Linked DNA regions of Drosophila melanogaster. The protein of the gene in region 2 interacts with the protein of the main gene of each other region in a pairwise test. Each region holds a gene or a part of one and is shown on either strand. Other genes may lie near its edges. The genes, in order: CG5246, Amacr and Coa7.

Region 1 (3,475 bases), on a different chromosome or scaffold from region 2:
CAAATAAGGTTGTTCTGATAACTACGATTCACTCTAAATTTACATAACAGGAACTTGAAACAAGGCGATAATTAAACTGTTTATTTAACTACATTAAAAGCCTATCCAATAAACAAATATATGTACTATCTAGGTCACAACTAAGTGACATTATCCCTCCACAAAATTTTTGGTGTTTTGACATATGAGAAAACATTAAAGAAATTCTTTAAAAATTTGAATCGACTTATAATCAAAGTAGTCTTTCAATCAGTTCTATTTAATTATCTTATAATTTGAGAACCTGCTGGAAAACTACTTAGGTATTGTTTATTTCCATAGTCAATCATACTCGAGTCTAATCTCTACATTAAGTAATGCCACAGGTGATAGTCAATACTTTCTGATATCCCACTTCTTTCTAACTGGCGCTTGTTTGTTTGTTGACTCAGTTCTCAGAACTGAATATAATGATGGATCATACGAATGACTGGGCTTTGGAGAAGTGCTAAAATTGAACACCCGCCTTAAAGAACATGACATACGAAAAAGTTTTTATTTAAACTGAAGCGCAATTGTTCATTTATTCGTTCATAAATATTTTATGATATCTTTGATATCTAAGTAATAAAATTTACAGTCTAATTTGATCAATTTGCAGAAGCCATTAGATGGCAGCTGCTATTTTTGTTCGGTTTTGGCTTTTGTACCCCCACGGGTGACTTTTGGACCTTTAGCACGCGGTACCAGCGTCTGTCATCATCTGTTCGATCCAATCGTGGTAGTAGGCGACCGAACCGAACACATCCGGATAGCCAATGGCACAGGCCTCGCCCCAGTTGACCACGCCGACGAGGGTTTGGTTGGCATCAACCAAAGGACCGCCGGAGTCTCCATGGCAAGATCCCTCGCCCTCCTGGGTGAAGGTGCACACGTGTCCTTCGCTCAGCCAGTTGGCGTTTCGCACTCGAGACTGGCAGTTGTCGTGATCGATGTAGTTCAGATCGATTTTCTGCAGCTGGGTGGAGTACCTTCCCCAGGTCTTGGTGCTGCCCCATCCCGTCAGCGTTAGCTTATCTCCCACCTTCGGCAGTGATCCCTTGCTGGCCAGTTTAATAGGTTGAGTCAGGTCGTCGTAAACAATGGGCTTAGCCGTGTGGATCAACGCTATGTCATTGTGATAGGCTGGCTTGTCGTGACTGCAATGGATCTTCGATCCATCTACCAGATACTCCGCTCCTGGTCTCGTATAGTCCACTGTGCCGGTGACAATCTTCAGATACTGAATGGGCCACTCCATGCAATGGGCGGCGGTGAGGATCCATTGTGGCGCGATGATACTGCCACCGCAAACATGCTCGCCAAAGGTATTCATGATGGACACCTGGTAGGGAGCAAATCCAGTGGGGGAATCGACACCTCCAATCACACGGGTCTCGGGCTTCACATGGCCCAAATGATGATTTAACTGGTGACGACGATGAATCTTAACGCTTTTCGCCGAACATTGAGACAGGATCACCAAAACACTGATCAGTACTAGACACTTCATTTTGGCTCAAATATCTTGAAATATTTGTTTCAATTAATTGTAATAATTGTAATTTGTAGTGTTGTGTTGTGTTCAACTTCCGTAAGCGGAATGCCCACTTTTTGGCACCAAAATCGCTTTTATAGCGCTGTGCAAAATTTCCTTATCTCTCGAAGAGTTTCTTTTAAATATTTTTTGCGATAAGCGTCTCAGTTCGGGGGAAGCTTCGATAATGACAATTTCCATAGCCCGTATATAGTAACCTGATAGGGGGAATTCTATAGCCATTTGGACTGAGAGTGATAGACAACTAGCACACGACCGTAATAATATTACTCATACGCAACGGGGGCGGACTTTGTGCTAACTCGAGTTGTGCTAGGCAGATCTTCAGACGTCGTCGGTTGATAGGGTCGTAATCGGATGGAAGTTTACTTGAAATTCACCTGGAATAATAGCGAAATGATTGAAGGCCCATTGAAGATACTGAAGTCGGCATACCCTTAGGGTAGGCAAGTTAAAGGAATAGATAGGACAATCTTCAACAAATATTAAAGGATTTATAAAAATAAATTAGATAACTTCGATATGGAAACCTACTTACTTATTACTTATTTTGTTTTTTATCAAACACTAAAAAAGTATATATTGTATAGACATAGTTCTGTGTGTCATGGTTTGGTAGTGTATTATATTGTTTCTGAAAAACCAGTTCATTTTTATGGCTTCAATGAAATTTTGACGTTTTACTTATCACCCGCAATTACAACAATTGGCAGACGTCTGGACGAGGGATTATCAAGATTTCAAGTTAATCAATTGTTTCACATACTGGATTTTGGACTTTGACATAATTTAGGAGACAATGTATCTTTTGGAACATCCGTAATAAACTAGGTAATATAAAAATGTTCGTCTGGCGATATTGAAAATGCGTACCACAATTTTTACAGTATTTTATTGAATAAAGTTATTTTTCCAGGATAAAAGTAATTGATACGAATTTTTGCACTTAGGAAATAGCACATCCGTTAATCGTTGATATAATCCAGCTGTAGTAAAAGCTAATGCGGGCAAAAACATCGGGAAATCCATAGCCGCACGGAACGCCCCAGTTACCAACGCCCACCAAGCGACCACGACTGTCAACGATGGGTCCTCCGGTATCTCCATGACATGCTCCGGCTCCCACCTTTCCCACGGCACAAAGGTGACCCACATCCAGATCTGGAGTACCGCCGTACGTGGCATTGCACTTTTCCGGCGCGACATAGGTTACATCCAACTGCTGCAGCTGCCATGAGAAATCTCCTCCGATCTCCGTGCTGCCGTATCCGTACATGGTTAGCGTTTCACCATCGGTCAAATCCTCCAACGGAGCGATTGTGATATTCTGAGTGACATCATCGTAATCGAATAGTGCATGCGTCTTGATCAGGGCAATGTCATTATGGTACATGGGGCTGTCGAAGTTGCAGTGCATGACGATATCCTCCACGGAGTATATCCAGCCCTCCGATCCCCAGTGATTATAGGTGGTGGTCACCACCTGCACGTTGTTCTTTCGCAATCCAGCCAGGCAACTAGCCGCGGTGATGACCCACTGATCGTGGATAATGGAGCCGGCACAAAAGTGGTTACTTAAAAGAGTTGCATAATTCACTATTTAGACTTCAAAATAAAATGTTACTTAAGACACTAAAAAAATATATTGCTTAAAAAAATAGTATAATTTCTGTGGTAATACGTTAGTAATTGTTACCAATAGGGAAACTAGGATAACATAAATAAGGATAAGTTAATTACCCATAGGCGTTTTGGAGCGAGACTAGATAGGGTGCCGCCAGGACATCGGATTCTTCTCCTCCGACGATTCGGGAGCTAAATTTATTCGCGGTTTCGGATTTTTCTGAAGTGAAGGCCCGACGGCGTAAACTTGCCTCCGAAAAGGATAACGCCAACAGG
Region 2 (3,725 bases):
CACAACCTACTTACTTACCTAAGGACTCACAAGGATTACTTTACCCGGGACTCTACGTACATACGTACAGACACTAGAACAATACTACACACGAAACGCCAACGCCAACTAGTGAAATTTACACCTCACCCACACATTGCCTACTTACATAACACCACAACGTTCATATGAGCATTCTAATCGAATATGATTATCCTAAATATACACTGACGATTGGAGACGCTGACGCGCGGTGCTTAAGCCGGAAATAAACTTAGTATATGTGCTACTCGGTATGCTAGTTAATGCTAACCTAGTCATTAAGTAGGGATGCGCGAGAGAACCTTTGATCACGATTGCGATAGGAGAGAATCAATTATGTTACGTTATCTAGTATGCTGTATTACCAATTACAAAAAATGAAAACCCCTCTGAATATCAATGTGCGGCCTAACTGTTCCGAAACAAATTGTATGACTGATAGTTTGTACGCGAAATCTTAGCAAATGTAATCTGTGTCTGTGTGCAAGAGCGAGAATAAAAGAATTTTGAGTGCAAGAGCAACAAGAAATGTGTTTTATTCCGATGAAATCCAGGCGGGGGCACAGCACATCTTGGCGTCTTACAGCTTGGCCCTCTCTGGAAGGGAAAGTACTCCCGAGTCGAGCAAATCTTTAAACTCGTCGGGCTTAAGATCTAGTTCGTCCATCCACTCCACCTGCGCACCATCAGTTGCCTTGGGCAACTTTCCCGGAGTTCTGCTTAGGACTGGAGCAGGACGTGGCGTCGCTGTATCCTCAGTCACCTCGAACGAATTCCTCTGTATATTGTGATCGTGTCTGTGAACCTCGCGGTAATCCAGAACGGGATAGACACAGGCGTCGACATCCTCAAATATTTGCGACCATTCAGCTTGGGTCTTGGAGAGGAAAGCCTCAGTCAAAAGCTTTCTTCCTCGAACCTGATGCTCCTCGCCAAACTGACTGACATCTTCGGGCAGTTCCAAGCGCTGTTTTAGCATCTCAAAGAACTGCGGTTCCAGGGCGCCCACGGACATGTAGCGACCGTCTTTGGTTTCGTACGTGTCGTAAAAGAATGATCCACCATCGACGAGGTTGTCACCGCGCTCCCTCCCCCAAATAACCAGATTCCTGGACATAAACAGCCAACTGGCCACATAGGCAGCTCCCTCGACCATCGAGGCATCCACTACTTGGCCTTTTCCCGACCTGTGGCGCTCCAAGAGGGCAAGGCAAATTCCCAGAGCGCACATCAAACTGCCGCCAGCGAAATCGGCCAGAATATTAATGGGTGCAGTGACCTTTTCGTGGCGCCTGCCCAGCATGGAAAGTACTCCCGATAAGGCCGCGTAGTTGATGTCGTGTCCCGCCCGTTGCGCCAGTCTTCCATGCTGGCCAAAGCCGGTGAGGCGGGCATAAATCAGGCGGGGATTGGCTGTGCACAAGTCGGTGGGACCCAGATTTAGTTTCTCCATTACTCCCGGTCGAAAAGGTTCGATGAGCACATCGCACTTCTTGACCAGCCTTTGCACCGCTTGCTGACCTTTCGGGTTCTTCAGATCCAGGCAAAGTGTGCGCTTTCCCTGCTGCAGTACATCCAAAGGGTTTTCCATCACCTGAACGAGATGGGAACATGGATTCAAATTCGGCGATCGGAGTTGTATTGAATTTAACGCCCAGTTTGTTTACCTTGTCGATGCGGGTGACTGTGGCCCCAAAGTCGGTTAGAATCTTCCCACAAAACGGTCCTGGTGCTAAACCCACGAATTCGAGTACCCTGATGCCTTTAAGTGGCATCTTTGGAGGAGTTTTGATGCGAAAAGTAACAAGAAAATTAAGTGCACTTTGAACGGCATTGCAGCAGAGATGCCAACTTGTAGGTGATTTTTTCTAATCTCACGAGACAAGGAGTCGAATGAAATAACTTTAACCTGCACCTCCTGTCTCTGCATGTATTTTTTTTGTTTTTGATAAAAATTAATCTTGATAACAAGAAATGTACCAGTGAAAGTTTTATTTATTTTCGTGACTTAACTGTCGAGCTCGACAACCCGGTGCTCTCGGTGCTGCCAACTGGTGTGAAACTTTTAATTCGCAAAAGGGAAAAGCCGCAACAACATTCAATCCCAATTAACTACAACTAACAGTTGGCCACCGCTGCTGGACGAAACCAAATTGACCGGGAGTGAGACCAGGACGTGACCCAAAAACGATGCCACAGCAACGGCGCAAGGTGGCCTTTAGCGGCAAGAAGAAGAAGGACCAGATGTTGCAAAAGCGCAACACAAAAGGTGAGAAAACCGAGATTGTGTGCCCACCTGTGAAAAGGGGCGTAAGGCTGGAAAATCGAAGCGGATGACTAACAATTGTTACGCCGGCAGGTCCCCCAAAGTATCTGAGGAGCACGCAGGAGTCGTATGAGGACAGCGATGTGCCGGAAACGACCAGGAAACTCATGGAGCAGCCTTTTGCGCGCGGCGGAAACCGAAACAAGAACGTCAATCGCTATAATTTGCAATTCTACCAGGAGGGCAAAAAGGAACTGGAGCAAATGAAACAAGAGGGCTTTAAACCGTTCGAGAAACTCAGTCCCGCTCAGCGGGAAGTGGACGACCGATACTTTGCCGGCTGCGACTTCCCAGTTCGTCCACCTTGGACGCTAACGGAGTCCAAGGAAGAGCTTGATCGCACCGAGAATCGCTACTTTAAGGTAGGTCAGTCTACTGGCGGCTTGGTTTATAATATTAACATATCCATTAATAATCTTTTGTCAGGAATACGTGGACGAGCTGCAGAAAAAGCAGCGTGCTGGAGATTCGAAGGAGCTTTCGCTGTTTGAGCTGAATCTGGAAACCTGGCGTCAGCTATGGCGTGTCCTGGAGTTCTCGGACATCCTGCTGATCATTGTGGACGTGCGCTATGCCACGCTGATGTTTCCACCCTCCCTGTACGACTATATTATCAACACGCTAAAGAAACATGCGATAGTGGTGTTCAACAAGGTGGATCTAGTCGAACCGCATGCGGTGGTGGCTTGGAGGCAATACTTCCGCGACCGTTACCCCCAGCTACCAGTGGTGCTCTTTGCATCCTTCCTCCCCCGATCCCGCAAAGGAAGTCAACGTGGTCCACAGGCTCATCGCAGGAGTATGGAAGGAGTGTATAATATCTACAAGGAATGCCAGCGCTATGTCCAAGGAGAGGTGGATCTAACAACCTGGGAGCAGAAGATACGAGAGGACATGCGTAGTGATCAGCTTGACATCCTGGATGAAATATCAACGGCCGTGGAGGGTGAACTCAAGATCAGCAGCAGCATCGACACCACGCCCCACGAGCACGTTAAATATCACAGTGGGGTCCTGACCATTGGCTGCATTGGATTTCCCAATGTCGGAAAGTCGTCGCTGATCAATGCCTTAAAGGGACGCAAGGTGGTCAGCGTTAGTCGCACGCCCGGACATACGAAGCACTTTCAGACAATTTTCCTCACCCCACTTGTTCGCCTCTGTGATTGTCCCGGTCTAGTCTTTCCCTCGAGTACTCCCAAAAGCCTGCAAGTGCTGCTGGGCAGTTTCCCCATATCGCAACTGGCTGTTCCATACCGCTCCCTGAAGTTTCTCGGCGAACATCTGAATCTACCACAGCTTCTGCGTCTCCACCTGCCCGAGGATTACGATGAGTGGTCTGCGGTGGCCATCTCCGATGCTTGGGCATATAAGAGGG
Region 3 (5,257 bases), on a different chromosome or scaffold from region 2:
CGTTTGGAAAAAAATCAATAAAAACCTTTAATACAACTCATTTTTTCAAAATTTGTCGAAAAAAAACCCAAAGCAATCACTCCTATTAATTTTATTCAGTAAATACGTGGTCAGTGCTATTTTTGTTACCGCCTCATTTCGCGCACTTTAGCAGCAAGTGCCCAAAAACAAAAAGAACCGTTACATTGAGAGACTAAAAATTTCTTGTTCAGAGAGCCAACATATGGTACTTATTATTCATGCAAACTTACTTTAAAAAATATAAACATTTAATAATTTTTTTTAGGAAATGAACTTTCCACCTGCAGTAGTGCTATTATTTTAACCGCAGCTGTATGTGAATGCAAATATGTACATACATACATATGAAAGAATATTGTGAGATAGAGCGGGAAGGAGCTATTATCATTTATTGTAACTAAACAGCAACTAATTGGACAAGAGAGTTTTTAATAAAGCGTCTATTTCTTGAAATGACAGTAGGTCAAGCTGACAATGAACACAGAGAAAGTGTTGCACAAACAGACTGTATATAGATACAGTCCGTTCAGAACCATTTACATGCATACTTAAATTCCTTACAACAAGATTACACAATTATCATATTAATTTTTTAATGATTCGTATGAATATTTTACAATTTGATAATATTTGTAAGAATTTGTAAAGTTCTATCATAATGGCACTAAAAGGCCTTCGTACCAGGGATATTTTAGTACTTGCACACAGTTTGAGTCTGTGAGGTCCCATAAAGTTCATCACAGCCACATTTTTGCGAAGTGTTGCCTATTCCTTTGGCGGGGACGCCTGTGTCAATACTTTTGTTACAATTTTTTTTAATATGCTTAAAATATTATTGTTTTCCGTTAACAAAATCTTGCCCATTTCTCGAAAACAAATCATGACAATTACATTTAACCAATGTTTCTTTAATAGACAAATAATTGGGTATTATTGTACTTATTGTTTTAGAATTTTTGGCTACCAGGAAAAATAAATTTTTACCACCTTGCTAGAAGCTGTTTTTGTTTAACATAAAAATTTTAAAAAAGGCATTTAAGGTGTTTGATTGGTTGGTAGTAATACCAGAATACCTCATACTTTGAGCAGTAATGGTTCTAAAAGGAAATAGCTATTGTTATGCTTAAATAGTTTATGGCCTCTGACATTAACCGAACGCTACAAACCGTTTTGGTATAGTATCCCAATGAAATTTGAAAAGAAAATCGAATATTTTATACACATATTTTAATAAATTGTTTGAAGAACATTTGTTTTAAACTTTAACTTAAGTTACCTTAATAATTTGAAATTCGGATTTCTCGTGCGACTATTACCATGGCAGCTATGTATATGATAAGTAGACCAATTTTCATTTAGGTCCAGCCAAAAGCAGATATAGCAATTTCGATCCAGTTCCAGCCGAAATTTAATATACTGTATAAACCAAAAATAACTTTTTGATCAAAAACCCCGAAGGTTTCGACTATTTCTCTCAGCTACATATCTACATATATGATTCCATTCCGACTTATATTCTAGCTGCAAATTTAAAATATTTTGGGAATGTTTTATAAAGACATCTTTACGCCTGAAAGACTTGTATGTGTAGAAACGCAATAGTTTTTTAGACTTGTGGACGAAGCAGAATCACATTATTTTTCCTTTTACATTCTTTAGAACGAATGTAGTGCACATCTTCATGAGAAGGTATTCGAGGAAAGGACATGCAGATATTACAAGACGATTAATTACGTTATAATGTGCTAGATTTAAAAAAAAAATGAGGCTGTCGGATTAGCAGGCGATTCTGATCAGAAAAATGTACTGGTTCTTACATTAATATTAGAACAACAGTTTGTGCACAAGCAACCGTAACTAAAACACAATTAACTGAAGATTTTTGTCTACTTTTTTGGTAAGACTTGTTTGTATATTCATATAAGGTATCAACAAAATTTTTAAAGGGTTCATCATCACTTAATAACTTTAACAATTAAATCTAGGAATTTCCATTGTTACTTATTTTCTCTTTCTCGCTCTTTCGCATGCAAGTGCCAGCTATGTACACAGAAATCTCAAACACAAGTTAGTTAGCTTAACTACCAAAATTAGACTGACTGAAAATTACTGAAAAGGGCTAGAAGGTAAAGAAAAACCTGACCTGACCTGAAGCAAGGTCTAAAAACAGTAGCAGCAGATAATATCAGGAATCAAGCATTATCAATTAGGCATGCCCACGCCCTGCTGGAACCCTAACGTATCATGCTGCTTCTTCACCTCGTCCTGCATTTCTAGGGCCAGCTTCTTGTACTTCTCCGCTTCCTTTTCGTTCTTCTCGATCCCATCGCCCCGGGCGTACATCTGGCTAAGATTGGCACACGCATACATATTGCGAAGCTCGCAAGCCTTGTGGGCAAACTGGAAAGCCTTCTTCATGTCTTTTAGAACAATATAGTCGGAGTCCTTTAAAGGCGGTTGTCCGGCGGGGGGTGATGATGTACCACTTCCGGAGGATGCAGTGACAGCACTCTGATCCGCCTTCTTTTGCACGCCCGAGATGTGCATCCCGGAGAGATAAAAGCAGGCAGTGGCGTTGTTCAAGTCGCAGCTTTTGGTCAGAAACTCCAGGCCCTGCGGGTGTTGTAAAATTATAATGTCAAATCACAAAATCAAATAAAATTTAAACACTTTTCTGCTGGGGTCATATTGAACAGTTTTAAATTGGATCAAACTAAACTATATTCATACATATGTCTATACATCCATTGGAACATAATCAGAAAATTACAATTAAACGTTCAATTATCTGGACACGATACGAATGACTTATGATTTCAAGGATCAAATGAGAAACAGGTGGGGCAAATGAGAGAATGTACTGCAGCACATAGTTGCACTTTAAGCAAATTGAACAGTTCCAAGAGCTAGCCTTTTATTGAAGGCTTGGGACCGTGATCGCCATACGACACCTTTACCTTGGGCACATTCCAGTCGATCTCCCTAGGCATGGACTTTGAAACGAGCAGCAGGCCGGAGTGAAGACAGGCGTCCGAGTCGTTTAAGTTACAGCCCTTCTCGTAGTACTCGTAGGCCACTTGTGGATTCCCCTTGCTACCGCTCTTGCCTTTTCCAAGGAAACTGTAGTTGCCGTATTTGTAGCAGGACTTTGCGTAACCATAGTCGTCGCAAGTCGACTTGTACACCTTGGAGGCCTTTTCAAAGTCTTTCTTGATGCCCTCCAAGTAGTCGCCCAGCAAGTGGCACGCTGCAATGCAGAACGCCAGTTAGCTATCTCATAAATGCAATGTCTTCAAGCCCCGCGAATTGTCCTCCCGCACATCGGAGGTTATAGACCTCAATTGTTTTTGCCGCCGTCGCTATCGCTGCCGCCGCCGCACTCACCTTCCGGCTTCTTCTCGGAATAGCACCCGAATCGATATTCCACGCCCAGCTTTTCTACGTACTCCTTCACGTCTGACTCCTTCTTCAAGTCATAGGCCATGGTCAGCAATTTTTAATAGATAACAACCAAAAATTATTATGTTATGCTTCGTCCGGACCCCTGCGTGCTTCAGTGTTAGTAACGTGCAAAATATCGATTCATCGACACCATACTGCATACATTCGATGGTTTTATTGATATCGATGTTAGGCTATGCATCGATATTTTGCTCATAATTAAAACATGGTTTAATTTAAAATCGCTTAATTGTATTTTCTATCTTTCATGTATGACTGCGGCGACATTGAGTTCTCGGCCTTGCTTGAGGCCGCAGTGTGGCCAGATACGTATGTGACTTCTCGCTTATTCAACATTTATCGCCGAGTGCCATTACAATAGTGCTGGTAGACAGCCACACTGGCGGTCTCGTAAAAACCTAATCTTTTCGATTACCTCTTGTTTTTTTTTTGTTTTTCCGTGTCCTCTGAAAACTGATGCGTATCAAGGTAGGACACCTAGCTATTGGGAAACCACAATGAGCTCGAGCAGAACGAGGAACGGCCCCACGCTTAATTTCAAGGCGGTGCTGCTGGGCGAAGGTACGTTTAGCAGCTAAACAAACCTAATTAGTTCCTGAAAGCTTTAACCCCTTAATTGTAGGTTGTGTGGGCAAGACGTCGCTGGTGCTGCGCTACATGGAAGACCGGTTCAATGCCCAGCACCTAAGCACCCTGCAGGCTTCCTTTGTCAGCCGCAAGATGTCCCTGGAGGATGGGAGAAGGGCGCAGTTGAATATTTGGGACACGGCTGGTCAGGAGCGGTTCCACGCCCTGGGACCCATCTACTATCGCGGCTCCGATGGCGCCCTGCTCGTCTATGACATAACGGACCGAGACTCGTTCCAGAAGGTCAAATCCTGGGTGCGGGAGCTCCGGCAAATGCGCGGCACGGAGATTGCCTTAATAATCGTCGGCAACAAGACTGATTTGGAGGAACAGCGAGCAGTAACGCACGATGAGGCCCTTCAATATGCGCGCACGGTTGGCGCTCAATATGTAGAAACTTCGGCCAAGGAGAACGAGGGGGTGGCTGAGCTCTTCGAGCTCCTGACCCAGCTGATGCTGGAGCAGTTGAGCCAACGGCAACCGGATGCGAGTCCACTTCGCCTCCAGAATCCGGATACGGATAACCTTAACAACTCCGATGACTCGGAGGCCCCGGATCCCGGAGATCCTGCGGGCCAGCGGTCCTGTTGCGGCATTTAGCCGTTCCCATTGTGATAGTAATCATAACTATAAAATAGTAGACCTTTAACCGATGTTGATCTTGTGTATATATTATACATAGATAGATATAAATATAAATACGCGTATTTTTATTATTCCCTATTATGGATCTTTAAAATCCTCACACATTTTTGTTTATTAATAAATATAAATATGTATTTCATTCGATTTTCTTGCCCTTCCTGAGCGCCCAGTAATAAACAATCTTGTACTTGCACTTATCTTGTTTTGAGGCTTTTTGGGGGCCGGGCTGAATCATCGTTATCAGTTGAGGTGCTAATGGCTCTGCAAGGCGATAGGTGATTAATTTTAAACCGCACCAAGATTACAGTTTACGGCACTTTAAATATATGGTGCAATAGAAGACAATACATAAAGTTTTTATATATTTTTTCATAATTTTATGTAACGATCATATCATCGCAACAGCTTCTCCTATTAATGAAATTAATTGAAATCCAATTTCAAAACTGTTTTCGGCTACAATTAGTTACATATATAAGTATTCTAGTTTTATTTTGTTATA

Evidence for each region.
Region 1: the proteins of Amacr (region 2) and CG5246 interact in a two-hybrid assay, tested with the Drosophila melanogaster proteins (one large-scale study listed by BioGRID).
Region 3: the proteins of Amacr (region 2) and Coa7 interact in a two-hybrid assay, tested with the Drosophila melanogaster proteins (one large-scale study listed by BioGRID).

Annotation. Positions count from the first base shown.
Region 1 is NT_033777.3:17,134,261-17,137,735, reverse strand, and holds CG5246 (uncharacterized protein), read right to left. Parts: upstream 1,626-3,475; 5' UTR 1,532-1,625; coding exon 713-1,531; 3' UTR 541-712; downstream 1-540. Other genes in the region: CG31267 (uncharacterized protein), read right to left, coding at 2,523-3,150, 3,317-3,475.
Region 2 is NT_033779.5:20,750,401-20,754,125, forward strand, and holds Amacr (Alpha-methylacyl-CoA racemase), read right to left. Parts: upstream 1,942-3,725; 5' UTR 1,797-1,941; coding exon 1,689-1,796; intron 1,616-1,688; coding exon 602-1,615; 3' UTR 534-601; downstream 1-533. Other genes in the region: Ns4 (nucleostemin 4), read left to right, coding at 2,212-2,290, 2,381-2,709, 2,774-3,725.
Region 3 is NC_004354.4:23,011,830-23,017,086, reverse strand, and holds Coa7 (cytochrome c oxidase assembly factor 7), read right to left. Parts: upstream 3,593-5,257; 5' UTR 3,506-3,592; coding exon 3,406-3,505; intron 3,269-3,405; coding exon 2,979-3,268; coding exon of another isoform or gene 2,928-2,978; exon of another isoform or gene 2,821-2,927; intron 2,635-2,820; coding exon 2,224-2,634; 3' UTR 501-2,223; downstream 1-500. Other genes in the region: Rab21, read left to right, coding at 3,981-4,044, 4,106-4,710. UniProt on the Drosophila melanogaster protein: Required for locomotion. Probably involved in the regulation of formation/maintenance of motor neurons at presynaptic terminals at the neuromuscular junction.